Callithrix jacchus: one gene and its partner. The protein of the gene in region 1 interacts with the protein of each later gene in a pairwise test. Links are inferred from orthologs where the notes say so. Each region holds a gene or a part of one and is shown in the gene's direction. Other genes may lie near its edges. The genes, in order: TXNDC5 and GMPPB.

Evidence for each region.
Region 2: the proteins of TXNDC5 (region 1) and GMPPB interact in a two-hybrid assay, tested with the Homo sapiens proteins (2 studies listed by BioGRID and IntAct). The two-hybrid records come from large-scale screens. The link is inferred for Callithrix jacchus from reciprocal best matches to the Homo sapiens genes TXNDC5 and GMPPB.

What each region holds. Positions count from the first base shown.
Region 1 is NC_133505.1:22,396,575-22,411,379, forward strand, and holds the start of TXNDC5 (thioredoxin domain-containing protein 5), read left to right. Parts: upstream 1-664; 5' UTR 665-688; coding exon 689-948; intron 949-1,290; exon of another isoform or gene 1,291-1,592; intron 1,593-8,675; coding exon 8,676-8,825; intron 8,826-13,786; coding exon 13,787-13,892; intron 13,893-14,805. UniProt on the Homo sapiens protein: Protein disulfide isomerase of the endoplasmic reticulum lumen involved in the formation of disulfide bonds in proteins. Can reduce insulin disulfide bonds.
Region 2 is NC_133516.1:32,329,018-32,344,302, reverse strand, and holds GMPPB (mannose-1-phosphate guanylyltransferase catalytic subunit beta), read left to right. Parts: upstream 1-2,268; 5' UTR 2,269-2,492; coding exon 2,493-2,621; intron 2,622-2,746; coding exon 2,747-2,827; intron 2,828-2,917; coding exon 2,918-2,966; intron 2,967-3,102; coding exon 3,103-3,245; intron 3,246-3,460; coding exon 3,461-3,619; intron 3,620-3,704; coding exon 3,705-3,783; intron 3,784-3,856; coding exon 3,857-3,984; intron 3,985-4,067; coding exon 4,068-4,250; intron 4,251-4,342; coding exon 4,343-4,474; 3' UTR 4,475-4,915; coding exon of another isoform or gene 4,916-5,036; 3' UTR 5,037-5,116; coding exon of another isoform or gene 5,117-5,202; 3' UTR 5,203-5,327; coding exon of another isoform or gene 5,328-5,422; 3' UTR 5,423-6,005; coding exon of another isoform or gene 6,006-6,148; 3' UTR 6,149-6,741; downstream 6,742-15,285. Other genes in the region: AMIGO3 (amphoterin-induced protein 3), read left to right, coding at 7,202-8,716; E3 ubiquitin-protein ligase RNF123, read right to left, coding at 4,916-5,036, 5,117-5,202, 5,328-5,422, 6,006-6,148, 10,116-10,200, 10,421-10,496, 10,588-10,776, 11,207-11,346 and 5 more. UniProt on the Homo sapiens protein: Catalytic subunit of the GMPPA-GMPPB mannose-1-phosphate guanylyltransferase complex. Catalyzes the formation of GDP-mannose, an essential precursor of glycan moieties of glycoproteins and glycolipids. Can catalyze the reverse reaction in vitro.

The sequences.
Region 1 (14,805 bases):
GTCATTCGTTTTAGTAACGGGGATAAATTAGGGCACGGTAGGACCTCAGCCAGTCCTGCTAGAGCCTTCTTGTCTAGAAGAGGCCACTTTGACGTTCTTTCCTCTTCATTCATTCGTGCAGGGCAGGGGTAACCAGCAAGGGGTTCACCTTAGGTCTAGAATCACAGCCGAGCTCTGGCCAAGAATCTGACTCATTCAGGTGCAAACCGCACCGTCTTTTGCCGGATTTCCTACATTCTGCTGACAGCAGCTGTTTCCTTCCTTTGGCCTGAAGTCCCGGGGTGCTTGTGTGAGCTGAGATTAGCTGAGGCTGACCGGCCCCTCCGTGGCTTCCCGCTGGCCTCATCGTTCCTTCGTGTGTTCGCCGTCGCTCAGAGCTCAGCGGGCCCTTTGGGGAACAGGGTGAGGGCCTGGGTTGCGGAGGCGCAGGAGTCCTCCGGGATGAGGGCGAGCGGTCCGGTCGCGGGAAGCGCAGGGGGCGGGACTCAGAGCTCTCCCGGACTCGGCCCCTCGCGCCCGCCCTTCCCCGCCGGCGCGCGGATGCGGGCTGCGGGCGTGTAGCGGGCGCGCGCCGGCGCGGACAAGCTGGCGTGGAGAGGAAGGGGCGCGGCCTCTCCGGGGCGGGGCGCGGGGCGGGCGCTGCGAAAGGACCGGCGGCCGCGGCGAGAGCGCGCCCAGCCCAGCAGCGATGCCAGCGCGCCCAGGACGCCTCCTCCCGCCGCTGGCCCGGCCGTCGGCCCTGACCGCGCTGCTGCTGCTGCTGCTGGGCCATGGCGGCGGCGGGCGTTGGAGAGCCCGGGCCCAGGAGGCGGCGGCGGCGGCGGACGGCCCTCCCGCGGCGGACGGAGGGGACGGGCAAGACCCGCACAGCAAGCACCTGTACACGGCCGACATGTTCACGCACGGGATCCAGAGCGCCGCGCACTTCGTCATGTTCTTCGCGCCCTGGTAACGACGCGCAGGCCGGCGCCCTGCCCCGCACTCGGCGCTTTGGGGCGCGTGGGCGCCGCGGGCTGGGGGTCCCGGGCCGGGGGCCACGTGGATGCCTACGGCTCCGGCCAGGGGCATGCGTGCTGCGGGCGCGGGGACCCTGCGGCCTCGGGGCCCCAGCTGGGGGGTGTGGGGCGCGGGCGCCGCGGGTGGGGGCCGGGAGCCTGGGACTGCAGGGGACCGAGGGCTCGAGGTTCCGGGCCGGGAGGCGTGGGCGCAGCCGACCGGGCGCTCGCGGCTGACGTGGCGCTCGGCTGCCGGGCTGTGCTGGAGGAGGGGGCGGTCCCCGAGGGGACAGCCGGGAAAAGCCCGCCCCACGCCGCGCTCCTGAACTCAACCACCTCTTGCACCTCGGCACCGAGGGAGGGGAATGTGGGGGGGCCGTCGTCCTTTCGGGGAGCCGGGAGTCCAAATGTCACCCCGCGGTCCCTGCCCTGCGCCCCAAACTTCCTGTGCCGGCCAGACGCGCGGCCTGTCCGTGGGCCACGTGCACTCGCCGGAGCGGCCTTGCTGCTGCCGCGGCCACCGGGGTCGGCTGGGACACTGAGACGGCGGGCATGTCCCCTTCCAGAGGCTTTAATCGAAAAACAGAACTCAGGAAGGTGTGTTTTCCCACTTTGTGCGTGTTTTGCGGGATAGGAAGGAGTGGTCCAGGCAGAGGAGGGTTGCCGAGCTACTCCGGGAAGACCAGAGCAGTGCGAATTCTGGGACCCCCCGCAGCCCAGGGTAGACGTGCTCTCTGCTCTGTGACCGGAGCCCACTGGTTCTCAACTCCAGAGTGTCCTTTCACCTCCCCCTGCTCTCTCGGGGCCAGGTCACATGTGAGATCGGAAAAGCCCCTCCGTTGAGCAGATGGTTCTTCCTGCTTTGGTTCTCTGGGCAGGGTTTGGTGTGGGCCTCACTGCTGACCTGAGAGACCCCTACCCTGGGACTCGCCCCACGGAAGAGCTTCCTGTCATTCACACAAGCGCGTGCACTGCTTTTCCTGCCAGCGCCGGGATGCTCCTTGGGAGGGAAGTGATTACGGGCCAGGGCAGAAAGCTGTAATTTTAGGACCTAAGACCTTTGAGAGGCAGGAATGGCCTGCAGGTGCTTGTTGTAGAACTTGGTATACTTCCCCAGAGCTCAGCAGAGGCTCTTTTGGGAAAGGGATGTAGGAAAGAATAGAGAAAAGGTACCCTAAGAAAAATGGTCAGTTCAGAAATTGTATCTTTCAAACTAGGAGAATCGTTTTTCTCTTCACCCCCGTATTCAGGCTGTTACTGTGTTTCAGTCCATTTGGAGTCAAATCAACTTTTTGGGCCAGTGTGGGTTTATTAACTGTATGAAGTACATTATCTTTCAGATTCCTAGATTAGAATTTTTAGAACTACCAATGGTGTTGAAATTACTTTGTAACGTAAAACAGTCAGGCAGTATTAATAATTTTCTCTCTATACAGGAGTATTCTCAGAGCAACGATTTCAATGAAATATACTACTTAGTTGGAACCCATTTAAGTGGAATAGTTCTGTCCATGGGTTTTTTCTTTCTTCATTATTTGTTTGAGAGCTGTGATCTTGCTCTGTTACCTACCCTGAAACACAGCTGCAATTGCAGCTGAGTGTAGCCTCTAAGTCTGGGCTCAAGTGATCCTCCTGCCTCAGCCTCTGGAGTAGCTGTGCCTAAGGCACAGGTCACCACCCCCAGCTTATTTTTGTTGTTGTAGTTGATAGAAACAGGGTCTCGCTATATTGCCCAGGCTGGTCTCAGACTCCTGGCTTCAATCAGTTCTTCTGCCTTGGCCTTCTAAAGTGCTGAGATTACAGGCATGAGCCACCGCAGCCTGTTCTTTACTTTTTTAAAAGAAAAACTGACATGTAGATGTAATAAGTTCCTGCAGCCAAAGGGATTTTAATTTTAGAAACTCTGCAATAAATACCAGCCAGTCCTGGGCTGAGTGAGAGAGAGAACTGGCACGTCTGGGCACTTGGTATTAAGTAAATTCCTTTTTCATTGTATGTGGCATTAGATACTTAGGTGGATGCTCCCAGAAAAAGTAACTTTATGTTTTTATTTGTTGGCTTCTTTATAGTCTACTACAAATATTTAAACAGAGGTATGTGGGTTTCTATGGTGGTGTTTAAGTTGGACTTCTAAGAGGGACCTTTCAGAAACTGGAGATACTGCAGTAAGGCTCAGGAGTCGGCTGTGAGGAAAGGAGGCTGAGGGGGCGGACAGGTCAGATGGGGGGTCAGCAGGGGCAAGACCCAGTAGGACCCACAATAGCTGGAACAACACCTTGGTGAGTGTAATGCTGAGAACAAGGTGGTATCTCTGGAGGGGTCTGTGCAGGAGAGGTAGGCACGTGCTGGAGTAGTGAGCTGAGCATTTGGAGCTCAGAACACTCAGTGGACTCCCCCTCAACACACACATACCTTTTTCCAGTTTCAGTTGCCGTGGAATGGTGAAAGCCCATTTGTGATAAGAGGGCTGGGGCCCCTGTAACAAAAACATTGATCTGTGTATTTTTGCCTGGAACTTGGCAGCTGCAGTGTTGTCCTACTGCTGTAGATTTTGTGCCAACATCAGATGACAGCTTCTGTATGGCCAGTTTGTGAGTCACCCTAGACCTGGTGACAGTGAGGTCAAGATTTGGACCAGGTAGCTTTGCTCTAGTTCTTGGCCACAGGCTACCTTGTAAATGCAGCTGGCGGTCTCAGAGCCGGGTTTTGTGCGGACTAGATAGCACCTGTAGCCCCATCACAGCCAGGGGCAAGGGCATGCCCAGCTTGGTGATGGCCCAGGATGGTCAGTTTTGACTTAGTGCACAACAAACTTATTTATTGTTTATTCTCATTCTTAATCTAGTCTTGTGTTTTCACAATAAAACAACAGAAGCAAAACAAAACCTCGTCAAGATTGCAGAGAAGTTCTAAAGTTCCAGAATGAGCATCTCTGATCAAAGCCCCCCAGGGTCAGAACTGCCCTTGACAGTCCCTTCGGAAGGTGCCTTGTTGGACACGACCCCAGTCAGTAAGTCCTCACTGCCAGCATTTCCGCCAGCATTAGAACTGTCATGGCTTCTTTGCTTGAATACCAAATGGACTAGTTCTCAAACCTGTGTCTTTAGGTAGCGGGGTCACACTGTAGTCGCGTAGAGCTGTAGATGCTCATGCCATGAGAAGCATGCAGCAACCAAGCCAGTTGAGGAACAAAACCCTCACATCTCCCGGCTTGCACCCACTTCAGGGTTCTGTGGGAATTGTCTTTTTTTTTCCTCGTTTCCTTCTCACACACACACCTTTTGTCAAACTCACTGTGTTGAATCTATAGGAGTTAAATTGCATGTATGGTTTCACTATTTTTTTTTTTTTTTTTTTTTTTTTTTTGGTATCTGAATATCTCATAAAGTAGGGATTTTCTTAGTTGGCCAAGAAAATGCTGTTTAAAGCCGGGCGCGGTGGCTCACTCCTGTAATCCCAGCACTTTGGGAGGCCGAGGCGGGTGGATCATGAGGTCAACAGATCGAGACCATCCTGGTCAACCTGGTGAAACCCCGTCTCTACTAAAAATACAAAAAATTAGCTGGGCACGGTGGCGCGTGCCTGTAATACCAGCTACTCAGGAGGCTGAGGCAGGAGAATTGCCTGAACCCAGGAGGCAGAGGTTGCAGTGAGCCGAGATCACGCCATTGCATTCCAGCCTGGGTAACGAGCGAAACTCCATCTCAAAAAAAGAAAAAAAAGAAAATGCTGTTAAGGGAAGATACATTAGCTTGAAGCAGACTTTTTCAGTGCTACCTTTAAATCTTTTCTTCTTCTTATGAGGCAAAATCTCACTCTGTCACCCAGGCTGAACTGCGGGGGGATGTGATCATGGCTCACTGCAGCCTCAAACTCCTGGCCTCAAGTGATCCTTCTGCCTCAGTCTCCCAAGTAGCTAGAACTGCAGGTGTGTGCCACCACACCAGGCTAGTTTTTAAAAATGTTTTATAGATGGGGTCTCGCTGTGTTGCCTAGGCAGTCTTGAACTCCCGAGTTCAAGCAGCTTTCCGCCTCAGCCTCCCAAAGTGCTAGGATTACAGGTATGAGCCACTGCACCCGACTTAAATGCTTGTTTTTGAGGTAATCTGTCAGAAAAGAAAAAGAGATTTTTTTTATTTTTATTTTTTTTGGGGGGGGAGGAAGGCAGGAAGGGAGGAAGCGGGGAGGGAGGGAGGGAGGGAGGGAGGGAAGGGAAGGGAAGGGAAGGGAAGGGAAGGAAGGAAATCAAGCAATGAGAGAGACATTGCCGACCTGGATCTAGAGGTTTACAAGTTGATTTCTTTTTTTTTTGAGAGAAGGAAAGAAAAAAAAAAGTGAAGGAGAGGAAGAAAGAGGGAGAGTAAATGGAAATATTGCTTTATTTTGAAAAAAATTGGGTATTAATAATGGCCAATCAATGTTTCATTTAAACTTATGGGTAGGTGTGATGTGGTATTGACAAGAATGTATATTTTGTGTATTTGAAGTGGAGAGCTCTATAAATATTAATTAAGTTTACTTGTTCCGGATCTGAGTTCGAGTCCTTGATATCCTTATTAATTTTCTGTCTCATTGAATCTAAGTCTCGTATCTGGGTGTTAGGATCGTTAGCTCTTGTTGTTGCATTGATCCTTTTACCACTATATCTTTGTTGCTTTAAAATCTATTTTATCCGATATGAGAATTGCAACTCCTGCTTTTTATTTATTTATTATTTATTTTTGCTCTCCATTTGGTTGGTAAATCTTTCTCCATCCCTTTGTTTTGAGTCTTTGTGTATCCCTGCATGTGAAACAGGTCTGGATGTAACATGCCATTGGGTTTTGGCTGTGTCTTTTGATTGGGGGATTTAGTCAATTTAAATTTAGGGTTACTGCCATTTGATGTTGACCGGCTGTTTTATCCATTCGTTGGTGTAAATTCTTCTTTATGTTGGTGCTCTTTACTTTTTGGTGTATTTTTAGAAAGGCTAATACTGGTTGTTTCTTTCTGTGTGTAATGCTTCTTTCAGAAGCTCTTGTAAAGCAGGCCTGGTGTTAATAAAATCTCTGAGTTCTTGCTTGTTCATAAAAGATTTTATTTTTCCTTCAGTTGTGAAGCTTAGTTTGGCTGGATATGAAATTCTGGGCTGAAGGTTCTGTTCTTTGAGGATGTTGAATATTGGCCCCCACTCTCTTCTGGCTTGTAGAGTTTCTGCTGAGAGATCTGCTGTAAGTCTGATAGGCTTGTCTTTGTGGGTAACCTGACCTTTCTCTCTGGCTGCCCTTAGTATTTTCTCCTTCGTTTCAACGCTGGTGAATCTAACGATTATGTGCCTTGGGGTTGCTCTTCTTGAGGAATATCTTTGTGGTGTTCTCTGTATTACCTGGGGTTGAATGTTGACCTACTTTGCTAGTTTAGGAAAATTTTCCTGAATAATATCCCGAAGGGTAATTTCCAGCTTGGATTCATTCTCTCCGTCGCATTCAGGTACACCTATCAAACGTAAATTTGGTCTTTTCACATAGTCCCACATTTCTTGGAGACTTTGCTCATTCCTTTTTATCCTTTTTTCTCTAATCTTTTCTTCATGTTTTATTTCATTAAGTTGGACTTTGACCCCTGATATCCCTTCTTCTGCTTGAACAATTCGAGTGTTTAAACCTGTGCATACTTCTCGGAGTTCCTGTATTGTATTCTTCAGTTCCATTATTTCACTCATACTCCTCTCTAAGTTGTCTATTCTCAATAGGATTTCATCAAACCTTTTTTCAAAGTTCCTAGTTTCTTTACGTTGGGCTACAACATGTTCTTTTAACTCACCAAAGTTTGTTATTATCCATTCCTTGAAGAGTGATTCTGTCATCAGGATGCGCTCTTTCTCCATCAAGCCTTGTTCCATTGTTGATGTGGAACTGTGATCATCTTTAGAGGGAGAGGTGTTCTGACTTTGAGTATTCTCAGCTTTTTTACGCCGATTTCTTCCCGTCATTGTAAATTTATCCTCCTGTCTTCTTTGAAATTACCAACTTCCAGATTAGGTCTCTTGAGTGGATGTCCAGGTTTTTAGTTCCCAGGGCCAGAGCAGCGGCGTTAAAACTGATGGTGCTTTTCTGCCCAGGATTCTCCTGTCTGGCTTCCTTCTTGTGTCCGTAGTAGGCGACTCTGCCTTCCCGGGGCTCCAAACCTCGGTCAGAAGGGGAACCGGTCCCGTTTACTCTGCGCTGAGCGCTGCTGTGCCTAGGTGCCATCACAGCCGCTGCGCCAGGCTCTGGTGTCCTGCTGGGGACCCGTGCGGGTCCTCCGAACCTGTTTACTCTGCTCCGAGAGCTGCTGTGCCGAGGTGCCGGCGGAACCGCTGCGCCGGCCACGAGAGTCGCGCTGGCCACCTGTGTGTTTCCTCCACTGGGGGATCTTCTGCTCCGTGAGCGACCAGAATTTGTCTGAAAGTGTGGTGTCCTCTAGTTCTCCGCGCCTTCCCTGAGAGCTGCAATCCCGGGATGTTAGCGATCGGCCATCTTGGATCGTTCTCCAGAAAAAGATTTTTAAGAAATTATTTTGGGGAAGCGGTCACAATTCTAAGTGTTGGTGTTCTTACAAGCAAGTGTTTTTTTAAAAAACATTTTAAAAAGCAACACAGCAAAGTGGTTGCATTGTAGGCATCAGTGTGTACCTACCATATTAAAAAAGAAACAAGCCCATGTGTCGTCATGCTATGGGATTGTAGTTGAAACTTGGGATAAAGTTTCTAGGGCTGTCTCATTCAGAATTGGAATACAGCACTGTAGACCTACCATCCTGAGAACGTAGTGAGAGTCGTGATCAGCTGTATGACTCAAGAAGATGTAGTGTTGGGAAAGGTGCTGATACCCTCATGAAATGTGAAGCGTGGCAAGAAACCTAATTAATATCCTATTTCAAATGATAGGCGATTTAAAAATATGTGTACATAACTGAATTCATACAATGAATACTCTAAACAGACATTTGCTGGCTTCAACGCTAGAAGTTTAGATGGCCACAAACTTTTTTTTCCTTCTCATTGGAGAAAATTGCAGTTGATTAAATTTTGGGATTGCCTTATATTTGTGGCTATTTGGTTACATACTGGAGGAGACTTGACTGATAAAAGTAGCAGATACAGCAAGAAGTGCTAAGCTACTGCCCACAGGAGGCGTAGAGGAGCTTTCCAGAAGGGCAGGAAAAGAGACTGGCACTGAACATCCTGGGGAGTCAGGGCAGACTTGCTGGAGGAAGCAGCACCCAAACTAAACCTGAAGGGCAGACAGAATTAGCTGGAGTTTTGGGAGGAAGTGTAGGAGAGAATGTGTCTCAGGTCCCAGGGCCAAGCCAAGCTATGGCCCTTTGGGAACACTGCAGGTGCTGCATAGGGCTCAGGAGTAGGCTGCAAGGCGAGGAAGTCAAGTGGGAGGTCACAGGGCCAGAACATGTAGGTCCAGAACAACACTTTGCTAAGTTTAATGTTGAGACGATGCTGAGATTTAATGCTGAGAACAAGACGGTGACTCTGGAGGGGCGGGAGCAGAAAGGGAGGTCCTGGAGTACTGGTCCAGGAGTTGCCATCTGCCATGACATAAAGAAAGGGCTGAGAGTCCCATTGCCCCCTCAACAGGGCTGAAGGTGCAGGCTGGCCACCCTGTGACCTGGCACTCAGTGTGCTTGTACTCTTGCTTGTTTCAGGTGTGGACACTGCCAGCGGCTGCAGCCAACTTGGAATGACCTGGGAGACAAATACAACAGCATGGAAGATGCCAAAGTCTACGTGGCTAAAGTGGACTGCACGGCCGACTCTGACGTGTGCTCCGCCCAGGGGGTGCGAGGATACCCTACGTGAGTCGGAAGGAAGGGGCACCCTTCCCAGATGGTTCCTGGCTACGAGAGTCGTAGTTAAACTTTTGGTAACTTCCTTTGTAGTTTTAAGGAGTGAAGAGATACTAAATTTAAGCAGGCAGTCCCTGTGATTAGGGAGAAATTGCATTTAGTGCTGTGTCTATTTTAGATGCCTTTTGTACTTTGGAAAACCTTTAATTCATCAGTGTTGGGTTTAAAATGTTCACCGGTACATTTATAAGAGAATGCGTTTGCAAGACAAAAATGGTGGTCTCCCTGAGATTCCCACCATGCTGGATGTTCCCTGGTACATTTTACACAGTGTGCATAGACTATCATCAATTCTGGCTTGCTTTTTTCGGTGACTTTTATTCTCAAACACCCTTCCTATAGTCACTTCCCGTGTGACTCCCGCAAGGGCTGTTCTGTTGGAAAGAAGTATAGAGTCTGACAGTCGATGATACTTAATTCCTTGACAGTTAAGAATTTTTTCTGGTTATAAGAAATATAAATTGAAATGTTCTCAGTTCTAGAAATATAATCATTCTCTTATTAAACAAAAAGAAATGACTATTTAAAAGGCTGTGAAGGAACCTCTGAGACCCAGCTCTGGGGGGTCTGGGGTCTGTTTCTGTTGTGTCTCCCTTGAGATGATGGCTTTCCAGGCCTGTATCTCTGTTTGCACAGAAGAGCCCACTACTGACTGGGCCTGCTTGGCTGGAGTGTTCGTTCCAGGAATAGTCACTGTGGTAAGGGAAACAGGAGCTTATAGCAAGACACATGCCCATTCATACCATGTGCCAAGTATTGGAGGGAAAAGCAGTTCTTGAAAAAAGAGAAGACACTGTTTCTGAAGGAGTTGGAGGGTTCGCTATGGTCACTCCCTTGCTGTTGGTTTCAATTGAGGAATGAAGTCAATTCTATACAATTCAATGCTTAATTGAGTAATAGAGGGGCCATCAATAAAGCATAAAATTGGAGCTTATCTTCAAACCTGGGAGGCAGAAAAGTGGAGGGAGCCCTAAGCTTGAACCTAGAAGTCACAGTCAAATCCCAGCTCTACCATTTACTTAGCACATAGCTCTGGCCTCATCTTTACCGTCTAAGGTGATCCCCCAGACATTGTTATGGGACTTACATGGTATGTGTTCAGACACCAATCTGAGCAAGCCCAATACACGTCAGGCTTTTCCTACCATTTGGAAATGTGGGCATTTCCTCAAAGGACTCTGGAATTCTTGGTCTTTGGTGACTGCTTGCTAATATAAGTGCCATAATTTGGGTCTACTTTAAATCAGATCAGTGGAGATAAAATTGCCTACAGTCTGTATCTACATAAAAGCATTCAGTATTCTGTGCTTCATAGTATTGCCTTTAAAGTACGAATCAGTCGTGTCCTAAGAAGCAGGCAGGGAGCAGAGATGAGGGCGAGGAGGTGAATGCTTACCTGTTGAAAGCCTATAGCTTTCAAGGTTCAGGGGCAGCAGGGGTGGGCTGGCTCTGGTGTCTTTCCACTCTTAACCTGCTAACCTTAATCTGTGGCCTGAGGCAGTGTGCACCACAAACCATGTCACGGGGAATTTGACAACAGGACCTGTGAGGGAGCTGAGAGTGGTAAGTGTTATGGGGCTTCAGAGAAGGAAGTGAAGGGTTCCGCCCCAGCCTGGCCGTAACGACTATTGGCTGCAATATCAGCTACTCCATAGATGATATTCACCAAATACCATCACACATTTAAAAAGTCACAGACTTAAAAAGGCCCATGTTGGATCATGTATTTAGATTTTTAATGAGAAGATCTCATCTCCCCAAATAAACCATGGGCTGGTTTTGTGTTATTGAAAAGAACAAAAATGAGTCTACACCACTCTGAACACAGTTTGGGAAGGAACCTCTGTGCCCATCACTGACCTGCAGAAGTTCCTGAGAACAGATGATTTTCCCCTAGAGAATGCAGGAGGTGGAATGTGCTGTATGAAATGTGGTCGCGTTGGGGCATCTAGAGATTGACTTGGGTGAGCTTTTACTTCTCCTAGACAGCACCCATCCCACAAAGTGGTTGTGAGGCCTGACTCAGACGATAACTGTACCTGCCTGAGCCCAGGCGTGTGTCAGGACATCAGCTTTCATGTCATTCTTCCCTGGCAAGTGTCACTGGAGTAAGGGGGTGGAGGGGCAGGGAGTTTGGGCTCTCATGCCCCCTAGAGATGGCTGGCTGTGTCCAGGAAAATGTTTCAGGGTCTTCCTATTGAGCCATTGTGAATCGTTACAGCAGGGCAGGACTGAAGGAGGAAACCACCTGTGTTAGTTTCCTGGGCTGCTGTAACAAAGTTTCACAAACCAGGTGACCAGAAACAATAGAAATGTATTGTCCACAGTCTCGGAGGTAAGAGGTCCTAAATCAAGGAGCCACCAGGGCTGTGCTCCCTCTGAAACCTGTGGGGGAATCGTCTGCCTCATTCTGGCTCCTGTTGGCTTCCTGGTCATCTTTGGCATTCTTTGGTATATAGATGCATCACTTCCATCCTCTGTCCTCATGTAGCCTTCTCTGTGTGTGTGTGTGTGTGTGTGTGTGTGTGTGTGTGTTGCTGCTTCCAAATTAACCCTTCCTGCAAGGACACCAGTCATGCTAGATTCAGGCCCATCCTGATGACCTCACTTTAACTTGAATATCTCTCTGTAAAGACCTTATTCTAAATAAGGTCAGCCTTCTAAGGTTGATGGTTATGACTTACACAGATGTGTTTTACAGGACACTGTTCAACTCATAACCTTCTTTATAGTAGTAGAACTTTCAGCATGTTGTTTGCCAAGGTGACGCCTACATGGCAGTTTTCTCCCTGCTGTCCTCTTGAAAGAGGAGACTCAAATGCCCATGTGGAGGCTTGGTAATGGCAGAAATCTGGGATGATACTTTGGGCACGTACCCTGTGGCCCAGTCTCCATCACCTCCTTCACCTCATCAACAGTGAGAATTGAAGTCAGATTCCCCAAACCAACTGGAAGGTCTGGACCAGACGTGCCCACTCTATCCCTGAGCTCCGTGAACTTACTGAGGAATAATCTTAGACTTGAGCAGGTTAGAAAGATTTTCAGGCCAACAAGAAGAGGGTTTTTTGTTTGTTTGTTTTTTGTTTTGCTCAAATGAATAGCAAATCACAAAAAATCACAGGCTAGGTCTTACTGTGTTTTACTTTTAGCAAAGAAACGAGGAATGCATGTGACAGTACCTGGTCCTGTCTCCTATTCTGAGGATCCACCCGTTTTCCTTCCCGAAGCACACTGATGGAGAGGCACTTGGAGGAGGTGGGTGGGAGGCAGAGCCATGCAGGAAGAAGTTTCTGTTTCTCTGGGTGCAGAACACACCGGTGGGAGCCCCGGGAGGTGCTGGGCTCGGTGAGGGCAGTCGTCTTTGTTACCACAGACTTTGCCCTTGCTTATCATGTTGAACTTCCTGAAGTAGCTGGTGTACTGACTGAATCTAGTGAAGCTTGGTGTTGGTGGTTATGAGCATCTAAGCTGCTGAGGAAGCTGGGTGTCTAGTCTGTATTGGAGACACATTAGGGGCCTTATGTAAGCCCTATGGCACTGGTGATCTTAGGTTCTGCATAAGGCCATTATGCCCATTTGAATTTCAAAGCCTATTCTAGCCATGTAACTTCATTTTAAGGATAATTAGCCATTTTTTATGGACTGAATGTTTGTGTCCCCCAGAATTCATATGGTGAAATCCTAATCCTCAATGCTGACATTAGGAGGAGGGGCCTTTGAGAGGGGAGTAGGTCATTAGAGTGGAGCCCTCCTGAATGGGGATACCTACCTTATCAAAGAGGCCCCAGAGAGTTCGCTTGCCCCTTTTGCCATGTGAGGACACAGCAAGAAGACACCATCTGTGAACCAGAAAACCCTCACCAGACACTGACTCTGCCAGCACCTCGATCTCAGACTTCCGGTCTCTAGAACTAGGCGAAATCTGTTCTGTTGTTTCTAAGCCACCCAGTCTGTGGTCTTCTGCTACCACCATTGAACTAAGACACTATTCAAACCTTCATGTCTGATTTCTTCATAAATTGGTATCTTATAATTCTGATACTATACATTGGGCATCTACTCACAAAATCCACATACGTGCTGTAGAAGTGGCAGGGGTGTTTTAGATGAGTAGGCTTGCCAACAAATGGTACTCCGTTAGTACCTTCTGTTAGCAGTCACATTTTTCCCTGTCCTTGACACCTTCTATGAATTTTTATCTAGAGCACGTTTTCCTATGACTGATGGGGTGATCCAGGAACTGGGAGTGTTAATTTCATCCTCTGGTGCTGTCTTTTGCTTATGGTTAAAGGGCCAGCTCCTGTATCCTCTCTGTAGGTTCCTCCAGAGGCCACGATTTGTAGGAAAAAGAAGATTCCTTCTCTGTGGGGAGACGAATGGACTGTGTTAGTCAATGTCAAGGTCGCTCTTACAGTTGGACACGAATTCTCACAGTAACTGGATATTCATGCTTTGCACGAGTTGAGTACCTGCCAGGGTGGCCTGGAAGAATACTGCTATTGCAAAACAACACTGCCTCTGTTACAGTCCTAATTTGAACATGTACACAACAACCACTGCTGAAGCTGAGAAAACATAACAGTACCTTGCAGGGAAGGCCTGAGACTGCTGCAGAGGAGCACTGAATACTTGTAGCTTGGGGCTTCAGTCACAGCATTAGGCTGGAAGTTCTCACCTCATTTTTATTTTCCTTAAATAAAATCAGAAACTTCTAAAAGTTTAGGATTAACAATGTATTATCTCCTGGAACGTTATTTTTGTTTCCTTTTAGAGTTTTATCAGAGAGGAGCAGATATGTGCCTGGCTGCAGCCTCTTGACAGCTCATTTTCTGATGGTTTTACTAAATGAGTTTGCTCTTTGATAAGACAACTCTCTTTTTGCTCTGTCTAATCCTTTGTTATGCTTTCAGCTTAAAGTTTTTCAAGCCGGGCCAAGAAGCTGTGAAGTACCAGGGTCCTCGGGACTTCCAGACTCTGGAAAACTGGATGCTACAGACGCTGAATGAGGAGCCAGTGGTGAGCGCCTCCCTCTCTTCCTGTCTGCATCTTTGGGGTTGTATGTAATGGGGCAGAGACCAGTTGAGGTGAATGATTAAGGCTGCCATTTTAAAGCAACTTTACTTTTTTTTTTTTTTTTTAGAGCTCATTGATATTATAGGTAAAGATGAACTTTTACAAAAACTTTTTGGTATGGAGATACTGAAATGTGCACAAAAGTCAGGAGAAGACGGCCCTCAGCTTCAGCAGTTACCGCTGTCTGGCTGCGGTGGTTGTCTTCCCCACCACCCTGTGCCACTGTCTGCCTGCGGTGGTTGTCTTCCCCACCACCCTGTGCCACTGTCTGCCTGCGGTGGTTGTCTTCCCCACCACCCTGTGCCACTCTGTCTGGCTGCGGTGGTTGTCTTCCCCACCACCCTGTGCCACTGTCTGGCTGCGGTGGTTGTCTTCCCCACCACCCTGTGCCACTGTCTGGCTGCGGTGGTTGTCTTCCCCACCACCCTGTGCCACGCCACTGTCTGGCTCTGGTGGTTGTTTTCCCCACCACCCTGTGCCACTGTCTGGCTCTGGTGGTTGTCTTCCCCACCACCCTGTGCCACTGTCTGGCTCTGGTGGTTGTCTTCCCCACCACCCTGTGCCTTGTCTGGCTGTGGTGGTTGTCTTCCCCACCACCCTGTGCCACTGTCTGGCTGTGGTGGTTGTCTTCCCCACCACCCTGTGCCACTGTCTGGCTGTGGTGGTTGTCTTCCCCACCACCCTGTGCCTTGTCTGGCTGTGGTGGTTGTCTTCCCCACCACCCCGTGTCTTGTCTGGCTGTGGTGGTTGTCTTCCCCACCACCCTGTGCCTTGTCTGGCTGTAGTCGCTCTTTAAGGAGGTCACTTGTGGAGTCTCACAGATGAGCACTTAGTCCTTGTTAACACTGCCACCCTG
Region 2 (15,285 bases), on another chromosome or scaffold:
CCTTTGTGAGGCGCTCTTGGCCCTGGGCCTAGAGGGAGAACTTTTAAGTTTTTTTGCTCACAGGGACATGGTATGGGCCCTGGGTGCAGGTGCCCATATTCTGCTAATGAGAGCTTTGTCTGATCAGTTCTGGGTCCATCAGTTTGTCCATGTGTCCACCTGCCAGCCCCTGTCCCTCGGGATCCTTCCCTGGGGTGTAGCCTTGCTCATTAGTATATATTCATTCCTTCATGCTTTCCTCAGCAGAACGCTCACTCCCGTTTTTGAGGTGAGCTTTGCCCCATGCCCTTCCTCCGCAGGTTTGCCTTTTTATAAAGACCTGATAGCAGAATAAATTGTAGGTGTTGTTTCCCCGTTGACCTAGCACCCTTTCTGTGGGCCTGGAATATGGCCGTCAACACTGACAGTGGGGCAGTGAAGGCTAGAGGGGTGGCCCTTCCTTTCTCATGGTTTTAGTCATTTTGGCTGCCCGCCCTTAGTGGCACAGACCTGCTGCTTCTAACACAGATGTCCAGGAGGTAATTGATATCTATTTCAGCCATTGCCGGCGTTAGCACCCTCTCCTTGAAGCCTAGGGCCACTGTTCATTGTCAATTTAGGCAGGTTCCTGTTTGGCATTAAAGGAAAGCCTGCCAGCTGTGATAGGCCTTGGTAACTGATGGACTCGTTTCCCGGTCCTTAGAGATGCATCCTCTTAAGGACTCCTTGATGGATGCCATCTCTCCTAGCTCCTGGCCCTGGTGCCAGTGGTGGGCAGGTTCCCATTCTTTGGGGCTGGGAGGGACAGCTTGCCTGTTTCTGGTCAGAAATTACGGTGTTCTGTCATGTACCATTCTGTGGCTTCAGCCACGGGGGCAGCAGCCCTTGATTAGTGTAGACAGTCATCCCTGGTAGGGTGGAGGGTAAGACATAGGGTCTAGAGCTGTTTGTGACCTTCAGGGGATGTCCTGTGCCTCCCAGGTTCCTAGATTCTGGGAGGAGAGGCTGCGGCATTCTGCTGCTCCTCACAGCGAGCAAAGCTGCACCCACTTATTATCAGTATTTTCTTGGCATTAAAAAGAGTGAAAAGGCCTGTGGTTTGCTGCTCCTCCCCTAGAGCAGGGCCCCTCCTTTCAGCACTTTGGACACCTGGAGATCAGCCCTGTTATTTAATGGTAGTGGGCAAGTGTGTGTGCATACTGTCTGCCACTGCTTTCTGCCTACCCCATGCCAGACAGCTCTGTCCCTGCCAGGCCCCGCCTTCTTAGCCTCAACTTGGGACCAAAGTGCAACGTGGATCATGGGTTGGGGTGCTTAGGTGACACCCTCTATAGTGCTTCCCTGGGCCAAGCCAAGCTGACACCAGTTCCTGAGGGTGGGGTGGGACGGGTGGTGCTTAAAAGAGTAAGGGGACCAGTGTAGCAACTTGCCAGGGATCCCACCCCCCTCCCTCTCTGGGCCTGTGCAATGGGCGTGGGGATTCCCATCAAGGGCCTGGCGCCTGTGCTAGTTCCGTAGCTGCTGCTCACTGCTCACTCCTGGCCACATGCACGTTCCCTAGATGCATATTGCTTTGAACTTTAAAGCTGTACAATTTGGTTATGTTTGTGCTGACTTGAAAAATATTTTAAAGAGGAAAAAAAAAATGGAGAACCCTGGGAAGAACTTGGTTCTTTGCTTCTCGGGGAACTGTAAGCCCTCGCATTCTGGGAATCGCTCTCTGCTCCTCTTTCCCGGAAGCGAAGTCTGTTCCCACCACCCGAGGCCTGCGCCCGGACACTACCCGTGGCTGCCGCCGCAGCTGCGTTTGTTCTGGACCTTGCGTGCGGGAGGGGGTGCTTGGGCCGAGCCCACTCCTTTCTGTACACCTAGCGCTACCCGCCCCGCTTGTGTCTGAGGTCGTGTATGTCAAAAATAAAGCCGCTAAAGCGGAGGCGAGTCTGTCTCTTTGTGAAAATCACTCAGCCCGGGAACTTTCCCTGGTCTCACTTCCCTGGGCCGAGGCCAATGGGCGGGTCCTAGGGCAGGGCGAGTCCGGCGGCCGCTGGACCACGCGAAGCAGGGAACATGGCCTCGCCCTTGGCGCCATTTCCGCCTTTGGATCCGCCAATGGCTAGCTGACCCGCGGGTCCCGACCCGGGTCCCCATGACAGCCTGGCACGCTCGAGCGCTCATTGGCTACGTCTGTCGCAGCGCCGCGCCCCAGCGCTCCGACGCCAGCGGCCGTGCCACGTATGCGGCAGCCGATTGGCCCAGGGGATTGCGTCACTGCCCGCGCCTCTCCGGCTTGAGTTCGGGACCAGCCGCGGTCCATCTGGCGTTGCCTTCCGGGTTGTGGTGGCCCTGGATCCGGCGTCAGGGCGATCGAGCGGACGAGGTGGAACTAGAGTCTGAAAGGCGGGCTGGTGAAGGGCGCGGGACCGGGACGGCGTTGGGAGTGCGCGGCAGGGGCCGGCCAGGCGGGCTGCAGGCACCTCAGGGCCCGGCACACCCTTCCAACGCCCGCAGGCGCGATGAAGGCACTGATATTAGTGGGGGGCTATGGGACGCGGCTACGGCCGCTGACACTGAGCACCCCGAAGCCACTGGTGGACTTCTGCAATAAGCCCATCTTGCTGCACCAAGTGGAGGCGCTGGCCGCGGTAAGACCCTGAATTGGGATCGAAGTCGCGTTCGGATCCGGCGGGACTAGGGATGGCCAGCGACTAGGAGTCAGGGGCTCCCCTATCTTCTGGCTGAGCCCGCCTGTCGGCCTGCGTTCTGACAGGCAGGCGTGGACCACGTGATCCTGGCCGTGAGCTACATGTCGCAGGTGCTGGAGAAGGAAATGAAGGCACAGGAGCAGAGGGTGAGGCAGGGACTCTTGGCCCTTACCCTCAGTCCCCGCCCAACTTCCCATCCTGGTAGAACCTGACTTGGGGGGGCCTCTTCCTTCTAGCTGGGAATCCGAATCTCCATGTCCCATGAAGAAGAGCCTTTGGGGACAGGTCAGTAGAGACAGGAAAGTCCCTTGGGGAGGGTTTAAGGCCAGGAAAAGGGTAAGACCCAGCCTGGATTGGCCTGCTGAGCCTGAATCAGGGACTCAGACCTCCAGCAAGGTGGTGACCTGTCCCCTTCCCCCAGCTGGGCCCCTGGCCCTGGCCCGTGACCTACTCTCCGAGACTGCAGACCCTTTCTTCGTCCTCAACAGTGACGTGATCTGCGATTTCCCCTTCCAAGCCATGGTGCAGTTCCACCGGCACCATGGCCAGGAGGGCTCCATCTTGGTAAGGCGCCAGGTCTTTTTTCTCTTGACACTTCCGCCCTCCATGCCCAGCCTCCCCTTCCCCTAGCCTTCATTTGCCTTCCGATGTTATGGGTACAGAGCTGTGCAATATGTATCTTTAAGCACTTGGGGCAGAGTTTCTGAGATCTGGGACAGCATGTATATCAAGGCTGAGGAACACTGGACTAGGTCCGAGGTCCCCTTCCTTGCATTCAGGTGACCAAGGTGGAGGAACCCTCCAAGTACGGTGTTGTGGTGTGTGAGGCTGACACAGGCCGCATTCACCGGTTCGTGGAGAAGCCGCAGGTGTTTGTGTCCAATAAGATCAATGCAGGCATGTACATCCTGAGCCCTGCGGTGCTGCGGCGCATCCAGGTGTGTAGAATACACCTGTTGGTGGGCTGGGGTGGCGCAGGCCATCACTGCCATGACCCTGCTCACAAGCTGCCCACTCCCACAGCTGCAGCCTACGTCCATTGAGAAGGAGGTCTTCCCTGTTATGGCCAAGGAGGGGCAGCTATATGCCATGGAGTTGCAGGGTGAGGTAGGGAGGCCACAGGGTGGGGGTGGTCTGTGGCTGGGCTGAGGCCCCTGATACATCCCTCCCTACAGGCTTCTGGATGGACATTGGGCAGCCCAAGGACTTCCTCACTGGCATGTGCCTCTTCCTGCAGTCACTGAGGCAGAAGCAGCCTGAGCGGCTGTGCTCAGGCCCTGGCATTGTGGGCAACGTGCTGGTGGTGAGGCCCTTGCCCAGCCCGTTATTAACCTCCTCAGTCTTGGGAGACAAGTGGCTCACTTGTATTTCTCTCACCACTCTCAGGATCCAAGTGCCCGCATCGGCCAGAACTGCAGCATTGGCCCCAACGTAAGCCTCGGACCTGGTGTGGTGGTAGAGGATGGTGTATGTATCCGGCGGTGCACGGTGCTGCGGGATGCCCGTATCCGCTCCCACTCCTGGCTTGAGTCCTGCATTGTGGGCTGGCGCTGCCGCGTGGGCCAGTGGGTAAGCCTGTGGGCTGGGCTACTTGGGGAGAGGGGCAGAAGAGGGGTGGGGAATGTGCCTGCATCCCTGACAGGGCCTATCTTCTCCTGGAGGTTCGCATGGAGAATGTGACAGTGCTGGGTGAGGACGTCATAGTTAACGACGAGCTCTACCTCAACGGAGCCAGCGTGCTACCCCACAAGTCTATTGGCGAGTCAGTGCCAGAGCCTCGCATCATCATGTGAGGGGATACAGTAGGGCTAGCTGAGCCCCAGTTTTCCCATCCGCAAGGGGAGTGCTGGCCTGACACATCAGAAGATCCTGGACTTTTAATTTGTCTGAGGGGCATTGGATGAAGTTGAAGCCGTTGGACACCTGCCTTCTCATGTGGACATCATCTGGCAGGATCCCTGCTGGGTACATCCAGCAAACCCCACTCCCTCAAGAAGGGCCAGGGCCAGGGCTGTATGGAATAATAATTTAATGCTCACTGTGGCCCTGACTGAAAGTCAAGCTCAGGCACAATTAGAGCCATGGTTGGGTTCCCACCAATGAAACAGGCAGGCACGGAGGTTGGATGTGGTGGTGGTGGTGGTGGGTACAGGAGGGCAAAGGGAGCTCATAAATAGGGCCCAGCCTGGCTCTGGGTTCAAGGATGGGGGTTCCAGGATGGCGCAGGCTGAGGGCTAAGCAGCTGAGGAGGTAGTGCTTGTACTGGCTGCCTTCTCCCAGTCCTCGACAGACACGATGGTGGCTTTGCAGAAGAAGCAGTCCTTGTTGTTCATCAGGTGTTGGTTGATGCAGGCTCTACAACAGGGGAGGGGATGAGGACTGCATAGCATGTACATACTGCTCTTCCCCACCACCAAGCTGTGGGGCCCACTTACTTGCAGGACTTGTGGCCACAGGGCTGGAACACAGCAGAGATGGGGTGGGCATAGCAGATGGGGCAGAGGTCCTCCTCACTGGTGGGCTGCAAGAAGGAAAGTGAAGAGTGGGCTGGAGTTGGATGCCCAGCTATGTGGATGTCTGCTGTGCCTACATAGAAGTGCACACATATTCAAGTGGGTTGGGCCTGTGTGCTGTGGGTCTACTCACCAGGGAGGCAGCTGCTGCCTGGGCAGATGCAGAGGTCAGGTGCGCCAGCATCTGTTCCACCTGGGCCAGCTCGTCAGCACTGATATAATCTGCATCTGGGGAGTGGTAGGTAGTGTCAAGCCAGAGGTGGCTGAGGATGTGGTGCCTCTTGAATATTTCCAGCCTAGAACTTTGCTTTTTTTTTTTTTTTTTCAGCTAGTCTTGCTATATCGCCAGGCTGCAGTGCAGGGGGGCAATCTCAGCTCATTGCAACCTCCACTTCCCAGGTTCAAACGATTCTCCTGCATCAGCCTCCCGAGTAGCTGGGATTACAGGCACACTACCATGCTTGGCTAATTTTTGTATTTTTAGTAGAGATAGTTTCACCATGTTGGTTAGGCTGGTCTTAAACTTCTGATCTCGTGATCCACCCACTTTGGCTTCCCAAAGTGTTGGGATTACAGGCATGAGCCACTGTGCCTGGCTTAATTTTTGTATTTTTAGTATAGACCGGGTTTTACCATCCAGGGTTGGCCAGGATGGTCTTGATCTCCTGATCTTGTGATCAGCCCACTTTGGCCTCCCAAAGTGGTTGGATACAGGTGTGAGCCATTATGCCTGGTCAGACTTTGCTGTTCTTAAAGCTCCTGACCTGATCCAGCCCTGGATCTCCCTGACCCACCCCACTGGCCCACTCACAGCTCTGCAGGGAGAAGTGCTTCCGGTCAGGGGCTGGCAGGGTAGTGCCAGGTGCTGGGGGGTCTGGCTGTCCCAGGAGATAGCATATTGAACGGAGCTGGAAGCAGGGATCTGCCAGGAGCACTGATGTGGCTCGTTCTCTCCTAGGTAGGGGAGGGTGCAAAGGCAGTCAGAAGGGCCTGGCTGAAAGTCTCTATGGGGATTGCCAATGAGGAGTGCCATGGCTCTTGCATGATCGTCCCCCACCCCCACATCCTTTCCATCTTGCTTCTGAAACCCCAAGTCCTGGATTCTAGTAAAGTGCCACACAATCTGGGATACCACTTTTTTTTTTTTTTTTTTGAGATGGAGTCTCACTGTCACCCGGGCTGGAGTGCAATGGTGCAATCTCAGCCCACTGCAACCTCTGCCTCCGGGGTTTAAGTGATTCTCCTGCCGCAACCTTCCGAGTAGCTGGGATTACAGGCACATACTACCATGCCTGGCTAATTTTTGTATTTTTAGCAGAGATGGCGTTTCTCCATGTTGGTTAGGCTGGTCTTAAACTTCTGACCTCAGGTGATCCACCCACCTCGGCCTCCCAAAGTGCTGGGATTACCGGCATGAGCCACCATGCCCAGCCTTGGGTATCACTTTAAGAAGGCTCAGGGGTGCCACCCTCAGATAAGAGTCCGCCTGTCCCATAATATATCAGTCCTTCAAAATCACTTCAAATAAACACTAACAGCAGCTTGGAGACATTCTTCTAGACTCTCCCTTTTACTCCTCGAGAACAAAGGAGCGGCAGAGAGCTGCTAGCCAAAGGCAGGCTGAGACTTAGGGGTTGGACTCACTCCCCCTCTGGCGGTCACGCGGGGCCCCTGGGCGCTAGAGGATACCGCCGCCACGCCTCCTGAAACAGGAACCAATAGGAGCCCGAGCCCCGCCCCAGGGGGAGTATTTAGGGGCTGATCAGGAACTCGCTCCGAGAGGGCTGGGGAAGCCGAAGGGACCGTGGAGTGGAGTCCGGCCCCGTCTCACGACCTGGGAACAGGAATACAGGGGCTCTCAGCCGGCCGGGCAGGGCAGAACCCGCACCGTGCCTCCTCGGCAAGGGCCATCCGGTGCTACCCACGTCACACTAAAGCAGAAGTAGGTGAGTCCTGGAATTGCGACCTGCACAGAGCTGGTCTGTCTTGTGTCTGGTGGTCGCCGCCATGACCTGGCTGGTGCCGCTGGGAGCACTGCTCTGCATGCTGCGCGTTGGGTCAGGCACCCCAGACTCCGAGGGTTTCCCGCCCCGTATGCCCCACAACTGCCCCTACAAATGCGTCTGCGCTGCTGACCTGCTGAGCTGCACTGGCCTAGGGCTGCAGGACGTGCCGGCCGCGTTACCTGCCGCTACTGCGGACCTCGACCTAAGCCACAATGCACTCCAGCGCCTGAGACCCGGCTGGTTGGCGCCTCTCTTACAGCTTCGCACCCTGCACCTAGGCCATAACGAACTAGATGCACTGGGTCGCGGTGTCTTTGCCAATGCCAGTGGTCTGAGACTGCTCGATCTATCATCTAACATGTTGCGGTCGCTTGGCCGCCACGATCTCGATGGGCTGGGGGCGCTGGAGAAGCTGCTTCTGTTCAATAACCGCCTGGTACACTTGGACGAGCATGCCTTCCATGGCCTGAGAGCACTCAACCATCTCTACCTGGGCTGCAACGAACTTGCCTCCTTCTCTTTCGACCACTTGCACGGTCTGAGCGCCACCCACCTGCTTACTCTGGACCTCTCCTCCAACCGACTGGGACACATCTCCATAACTGAGCTGGCTGCGCTGCCAGCCTTCCTCAAGAACGGCCTCTACTTGCACAACAACCCATTGCCCTGCGACTGCCGCCTCTACCAACTGCTACAGCACTGGCACCAGCGGGGCCTCAGGGCCGTGCGCGACTTTGCACGCGAGTACACATGCTTAGCCTTCAAGGTACCCGCGTCCCGCGTGCGCTTCTTCCAGCACAGCCGCATCTTTGAGAACTGCTCGTCGGCCTCAGCTCTTGGCCTAGAACGGCCGGAAGAGCACCTGCACGCGCTGGTGGGTCGGTCCCTAAGGCTTTACTGCAACACCAGCGTCCCGGCCATGCGCATTGCCTGGGTTTCCCCGCAGCAGGAGCTGCTCAGGGCGCCAGGATCCCGCGATGGCAGCATCGCGGTGTTGGCTGACGGCAGCTTGGCCATAGGTAACGTGCAGGAGCAGCATGCAGGACTCTTCGTGTGCTTGGCCACTGGGCCCCTCCTGCATCACAACCAGACGCACGAGTACAACGTGAGCGTGCACTTCCCACGCCCAGAGCCCGAAACTTTCAACACAAGCTTCACCACACTGCTGGGCTGTGCCGTGGGCCTGGTGCTCGTGCTGCTCTACCTGTTTGCCCCACCCTGCCGCTGCTGCCACCGTGCCTGCTGTTGCCGCCACTGGCCCGGAACACCCAGCCCACTCCATGAGCTGAGCGCACAGTCCTCAGTGCTCAGCACCACACCACCAGACGCACCCAGCCGCAAGGCCAGCGTCCACAAGCATGTGGTCTTTCTGGAGCCAGGCCGGAGGGACCTCAATGGCCGAGTGCAGCTGGCAGTAGCTGAGGACTTCGATCTCTGCAACCCTAGGGGCCTGCAGCTGAAGGCTAGCTCTGAGTCCGCTAGCTGCATAGGCTCCCAAGGTTTCATTACAACCTAGACTGCACAGAGCCCCGACCAAACCCCCACCCTCTTGCTGCTCGCCCTGCTCCCTACTTTGGTCCAGAGAACTGGCAGATGCTGGTGGGGAGCCCTGTGCCTTCCCCCCCAGCTTCCTGTGTGGGCTTCAAACCACAATGGGCCTTTTCACTCACTAGTAGAGAGAGAGGTTCCAGTCCCCAATCTGCCTTCTGCTCAGCCCCTGCACAGGACCCAAAGGCCCCAGGCCCTGCAAGCTGTGCTAGTGCCTGCTTCTCCAGGAATCTCCTAGTGCCCAAATGCCCTGTGAGGCTGAGAGACCCAGGCCCGTGTGGAAGAACCCCTGTAGCAGAGCCCCCTATCCACCCTCAGGGGCCAAAGAACTCTTGAGTGGTGCTGAAGAGCTGACGCAGGACTACCTCCCCTTCCCAAGGGGGTGGGAGGGAGTGGGCCCACAGGGAAAAGGAGGCAGCTCTGAAGGAAGATCCCGCCCACACCCTAAGACAGGAGAAAACAAGCCCACCCTCTGGTGAAATGGGACTCCCTGCATCTGCCAACACCCAACTTCCTGAAAGCTTTGCAACTGCACGGAGAGTCCGGTGGGCAGGCACTAGGCAGGAAAGGCTCCTTAAGAGACTCCTGAGGGCCCTGGCCTAAGCCCCAGCCAGAGGCCCGGCTCTCTCCAGGTGTTGTTCTGAAGGCAGAGCCCATTCTGTGGGCTCACAAGACACAGTGAAGTGGATCATGGCCTGCGCCCCTTCTTTTCAGCAGTAAAATGCCCAAAAAGCCTGGTGAGCATGGCCAAGCTGGGAGGGCCGAGCTGAACTCCATGTCCCTCCAGGGCAGGAGCCTCTTAAGGGCTGGCACTGGTCTCAGCCTAATGGCTGAGGCGGTGCCCTGGCTTCACATGCCTCTCACTGCTCCCATTGCAGGGGAGCAGGGAAGGGGGTCTGGGAGCTCCTCATGTGTGGGGGCTGAGCTGGGGGCCCTCATGGCCATCCTGGACCCCAGTGCTCCAGAGTTTCTTAATAAAGGCAGCACTTGCTTATTGCTGGAGCCTTCGCAGACAAAGGCGGTCCTTGTGTGTTCAGCTCTCCAACCAGCAGCCCAGCCCTGTCCGCTACAGGATGGCACACCCTCCAGAGTCCTGCCTCTCATGCCCAGCGCCTGAGGGGTGGCCACAAGCCAGTGGCTCTGTGGGCCAGGACACCCTGTCCTGCTGGGGTTCCAGATTCTCCTACTTAGAGGAGCTCCCTCTGCCCCGTTTAGGCTGTTCACACCTCACCACCTTCCCTCTGCCTCAAAACCTGATACTGAGGTCTGTTTTCCAGATTAGGAAACAGAGGTAACAGGAGGCCCTGTCCAGCCCCTCTTCACCAGACACACCCATCTCCCCGCAGGGCCCAGTCCCCAACACTCACTCTGAAGCTGGGCCACGCACCAGGAGCTGGACCAGGATGCCCGTCACTGCCACCAGAATGGGGTAGTGGTCCACGCTCTCTAGACCTGAGGGGAAGGGAAGGAAGGAAGATGAGCCGCCCATACACTCCCACTGTAGGGGCTCCAGGCTTGACACCGTCTGTCCTGCCTACTGCCCTCCCTACAGAAGGGTGAGCCGAGGCTGCAGGGCACTGAGCCTGGCTGTCTAGGGACAGAATGTAGGCATTACTGTTCCTAGCAGAGGAACCAAGTGGTGTGTTGGGGTGCAGGGTTTCTAGGTCCTCACCAGGCAGCCGTAGGGTGACCACACGATCAAACAGGTTCCTCTCAGCTGTCACCCGGTTCAGCACCTGGTTTAGCAGCTGTGGGGGGGGCAGGTATCCGTTGGTGGATGGGGAATGTCACCAGTGGGGCATCCCCAGGGTCCCACCCTTGTTGCCCAGATGGCCACACCTGTGCAAGACGCCGCAGCAGCATCTCAGAGGTAGGCCGGGTCCAGTCGAGAAATATCTCAGGCACCAGTGTGATGGTCATCTCCAAGACACGCAGCAGGCTGACCGAGAGGTCAAAGCAGGTGGCACAAACCTTGAGCTGCCGGCTATCCACAAAGTTCCGCTCCAGGCGCTCAGCAGCCTGCTGGATCTGAGCCACCAACAGGTCGGCATGCAGCAGTCAGTGCCTGGCTCTAGCCCAGGACCAGGCCTTGTTCCTTGCACCATCACAAGGCCCCACCACAGCCCACCTCCACCCACAAGGCCCCACCACAGCCCACCTCCACCCACAAGGCCCCACCACAGCCCACCTCCACCCACAAGGCCCCACCACAGCCCACCTCCACCCACAAGGCCCCACCACAGCCCACCTCCACCCACAAGGCCCCACCACAGCCCACCTCCACCCACAAGGCCCCACCACAGCCCACCTCCACCCACAAGGCCCCACCACAGCCCACCTCCACCCACAAGGCCCCACCACAGCCCACCTCCACCCACAAGGCCCCACCACAGCCCACCTCCACCCACAAGGCCCCACCACAGCCCACCTCCACCCACAAGGCCCCACCACAGCCCACCTCCTGGATCATGCCAATGAATTCAGAGAAGGCCCAGTTGAGCTGGTTCAGGACACTGTTGAGGAAGCTGGGCGCCACATCAGGACCCTGCCGCAGGAGGTCTGCCATGTGCCGCTGCAGCAGGGTGGAGGGGCAGGGCTCTGCAGGGGGACAGGGAGGCAGCAGCATCAGGGACTCCACTGCAGTGGCCTCTGCCTGTTTGCCTCTATCCTCACCCATTGGGCCTTTGGTATAAGGGCAGAAAGATGGCTCCCTAGGAATGCTCAGGTCATGAAAGCGGGGAGGGGACAGCTGCCTTGTAGTTTGGACAAAATCTATCCCCTCCTTTTACTAGGCAAGCCCCAGGCTACAGCTGTTTCCAGCCCCCACACCGCACTACCCACCCCAGGCCGAGAGCAGCCACACAGCCAGAGCCTGACCTCCAGCAAGTTCTGCGCCACACACCCTTCAGATGGGGTCAGATCTAGACAGGGTGGCTTAGACACTTCCCCACTGGCACCAAGGTCAGCTCCTCCAAGAGCCTATTCTGAGCCCTGCTGCAAACCTGCTGTCCTCTACTGTCCTCTGCCGCCCTTGGCCTGGCCTTGGCATATGGCCGAGGCGGTGGGCACCAAGTCTGGGCTGGCAGGCAGCAGTAACCAGAGCCCTCAGCTGCAACTGGCCCGGCACACCTCCCCACCAGCTTGATGCAAATCAATAGTTCCCGCAGCAGCAGGACGGACCTGGCCGCACTGTCACTCTCCACTTGCAGCTCAGTTCCTCCCTGGAAGCAGGACCAAGGACTTGCTGTGTGACTTAGCACAAGACATTCAGCCTTTCTGGGGACATCCTTCAGACCAAAACACTGCCCACAAGAGCAGAAACACACTATGTGAGCCAAGAAACACCACCAAAAAGGGCGAGGACAGTATGTGGCGGGCACTCTGCAAGGTCAAGCCTAGGGCAAGGTCCTCAGGCTCATGAGACATTGCTGGACACTGGAGACCTGGACAGCCTCTGCTCCCAACTAAATGTCCCTTCCTCCAGGAAGCCCCATGAATACCCTCTGGAGACCTAGCCAACCTCCAATTGGTGCTCCCACTGGACTCAGGTGTCCGGGGCCTAAGCCAAGGCCAGGATCTGGCACCAGCAGACAGTGGAAAAGGGGCAGAAGGACATGATGCTGGGACAAGGCTGGAGGTCAGGGAGTTAGCTTAGAGGGCAAGGGACAGAGTATTCAGTCTGCATGCGCTGCGGCAGGCTAATAAGACAGTGCCCCCTCTCACCATGACCCACACAGAGCGTCAGGGCTTAAAGGGCACATGTAGGACTGTGGGCAAGGGGGAGGAGTCCCACCCCGAGCATCCTTGCGCTGAAAGGAAGCAGGGTAAGTGGAAACCCTAGAGGACAGGTAGGGCATATGGGACTCAGCAGGGGAACAGGAGAGGGGCTGGAAGAAGTGGAGAGTCCGAGAGAACCCATGGGTAAGGCCCCCCACTGCCTTGCCCGGGACTCGCCTAACCCAGATACTCACTCTGGAGGCTGGGCAAATTGGCGTCCTCAAGTTTGGTTTTCAGCAGATGTGGCAGCCGTGTATAGCGGTACCCAAAGCCACAGCCCTGTGGGGGGTATGGGGGGCAGTGCAGGGGTCAATGGGACAGGGCACCCTCTCCCTCCAGCCAGCCTCAGCTACCTCCTCGAGTTAGGCTTACCCTCCAGAGCCGCACCAGGATCCAGTTGGTCTGGGCCCAGGGCCGCTGTTCATAGGGAGCCAGGAGGTTCCTTACCATGGCAATACGCCTATGAGGGCAGGGAGGGGAGAGACATGGGGTGAGGCTGAGCACAGTGCTCGAAGGCAGGGTGTGTGCCCCTCCAGGCCCCACTCACTGCTCCTCAGGGATTCGCTCCACAGCCCGCAGGGAGTGTGGGTAGCACACGTAGCTGGCCAGAGCCTGCATCAGCGAGTCTCGTATGTCTGTGGGGACAGGCCTTGCCTCAGTAGGGGCTTGGCATGAGCCCTGGCCCCATGCTTCATGCCCACCTGGCCACATTTTTCATAGAAAAAAGCCAACCAGAGGTGCAATCCCGTTTTCCTCCCCCTGTACCCTCTGTAGGCCCCTCACCAGTGCCCACGATGCGTGTGTCTGCAAAGTGTTTGGCAAGAATGGCAGCCAGGCGGGTCAGGGTCTCTTCATAGCCTGCAAGGGTGGGAAGTGAGACGTCTTGGCTTGGAATGAGAGCTCCAGGGACAGGCGTGTCCCTTGGCAGGTTGGGTGGGCTGGAGTAGCAGGCTCTAGAGCTGGCTCCCAAGGCCATCGTGGACCCAGCGTAGCATCTGGGGACATCGGGCAAGGCATTCACTGGTGGCTGTGGAGGTGCTAAGGCACAGGCTCACTGTGAGGGGAGGACAGGTGCTGGCAGGAGCCCTAACCTGGGCTCAAACCCACCTCAGCACACACTTGATGAGCTGTCAAAACTCCCTGGGCACTCATAGCTCTGTCTTTGAAGACAAAACCTGCATCGAGGCCTGGGGCTGGGCAGGGGTCAGGCCAGGGTCCTGACAGCTCACAGCCTGATCTAGACATACACTGCCATGCCTAGCCTGGAATCAGCAGGCTGCAAGAAGCCTAGGTTCATATGTGGACCCTAGCAGGGCCCCACCCCCCTGCTGTGATTTACCAAGACAAACCATTCTGCCCTTGACCAACTGCCACACTTAGTGACCAGTGCCAGGGAGTCAGGGTGAAGGGCCAGCTGGCTGCGGGACCATGGCAGTTGCTCACAGCACTAGGAAGTGAAAGCCAAGGGGTATCCACCCACTGTGTTCCATCTTTTCTGTTTTCCTTCACCAAGGAGCTGCTGGCTCTGTGGCTGTGGGTCCCAGGGCAGGGTACAAACCTTTGTTTGCTGCAGGGTGAACCACAGAGGAAGCTCCACCTCCTCTTCCCACCCCTCCCCCACACGGATGTATGTTGCTGAGCCACAGAGGTCTCAGACCAGGGCTCCTAGGGCTCACACTAGAGACTCCTTTTCTGCTTCTGCCCCAGCCTGAATGGTTCCATCACCTGGGAGCTCCTCCATGCTGTGCACAGAGCCAAAGTAATTCTTGAGAGCACTGTAGCTGTTGATGGCCACACTCAGGTAGAACTCGGGCATGAAGGCGAAGAGAGACCCCGTGCGATCGCCGTGCTCAATGGTCCGCAGGCAGACGCGCAGCAGCCAGTAGATGTCCAGCATCTTCTCCTGCAGTAGGCACACAGGTGTTGCTGGGCTGCTCACCAGTGGGGTCTTGGGGGCATGGCCTGGCCTGGGGATCAGGAAAGGCCTCCCTGTCCTATGACAGCACAGCTGAGACCTGGATCTCAGGATGTATGAGCACTGGCTTAAGCAGGGCAATCAAGTCCTCGGCAGGCAAGAGAGACGCACTCAGCCTGGAGGGAGCATTATTGCGACCCAGGCCAGAACTCTGATCAGCATAGCGTAAGCAAGTCTTTTGTTTTTATAAGATGGACTCTTGCTCTATCGCCCAGGCTGCAGTGCAGTGACACTATCTTGGCTCATTGCAACCTCTGCCTTCCAAGTTCAAGTGATTGTCTTGCCTCAGCCTCCCAAGTAGCTGGGACTACAGGTATATGACACCACACGTGTCTAATTTTTGTATTTCTAGCAGAGATGGGATTTTGCCATGTTGGCCAGGCTGGTCTTGAACTCCTGACCTCAGATGATCCACCTGCCTCAGCCTGTAAGCAAGTTTGAGGCAACAGGGTGCTGTGTCTGGAAGTCTGTGTTGGAAAGCTGCCCCACACAGAAGGGGAGGCAGGGCAGGTTGGAACAGGAAGGTGAGGAAGCCACAGTCTTGTCTAGGTCCAAGATGGCAGACAAAGGGACTGGAGGGCCAAGATTGGGTATGCCCTAATGGGCTGTGGGGACAAAGAAAAGGTTGCAGCAAGAATGGGGGTACGTGCTTCTGAGGGTGGTGGGTTCTCCATGGAGTACTAGAGGAGCAGCAGGCCTGGTGCAGGGCAGAGGGGAGCAGACAAGTGGAGTACAAGGTACGTAGGGGTCCCAAAGAGCTGGTGGTGGTAAGCAGGCAGACAAAA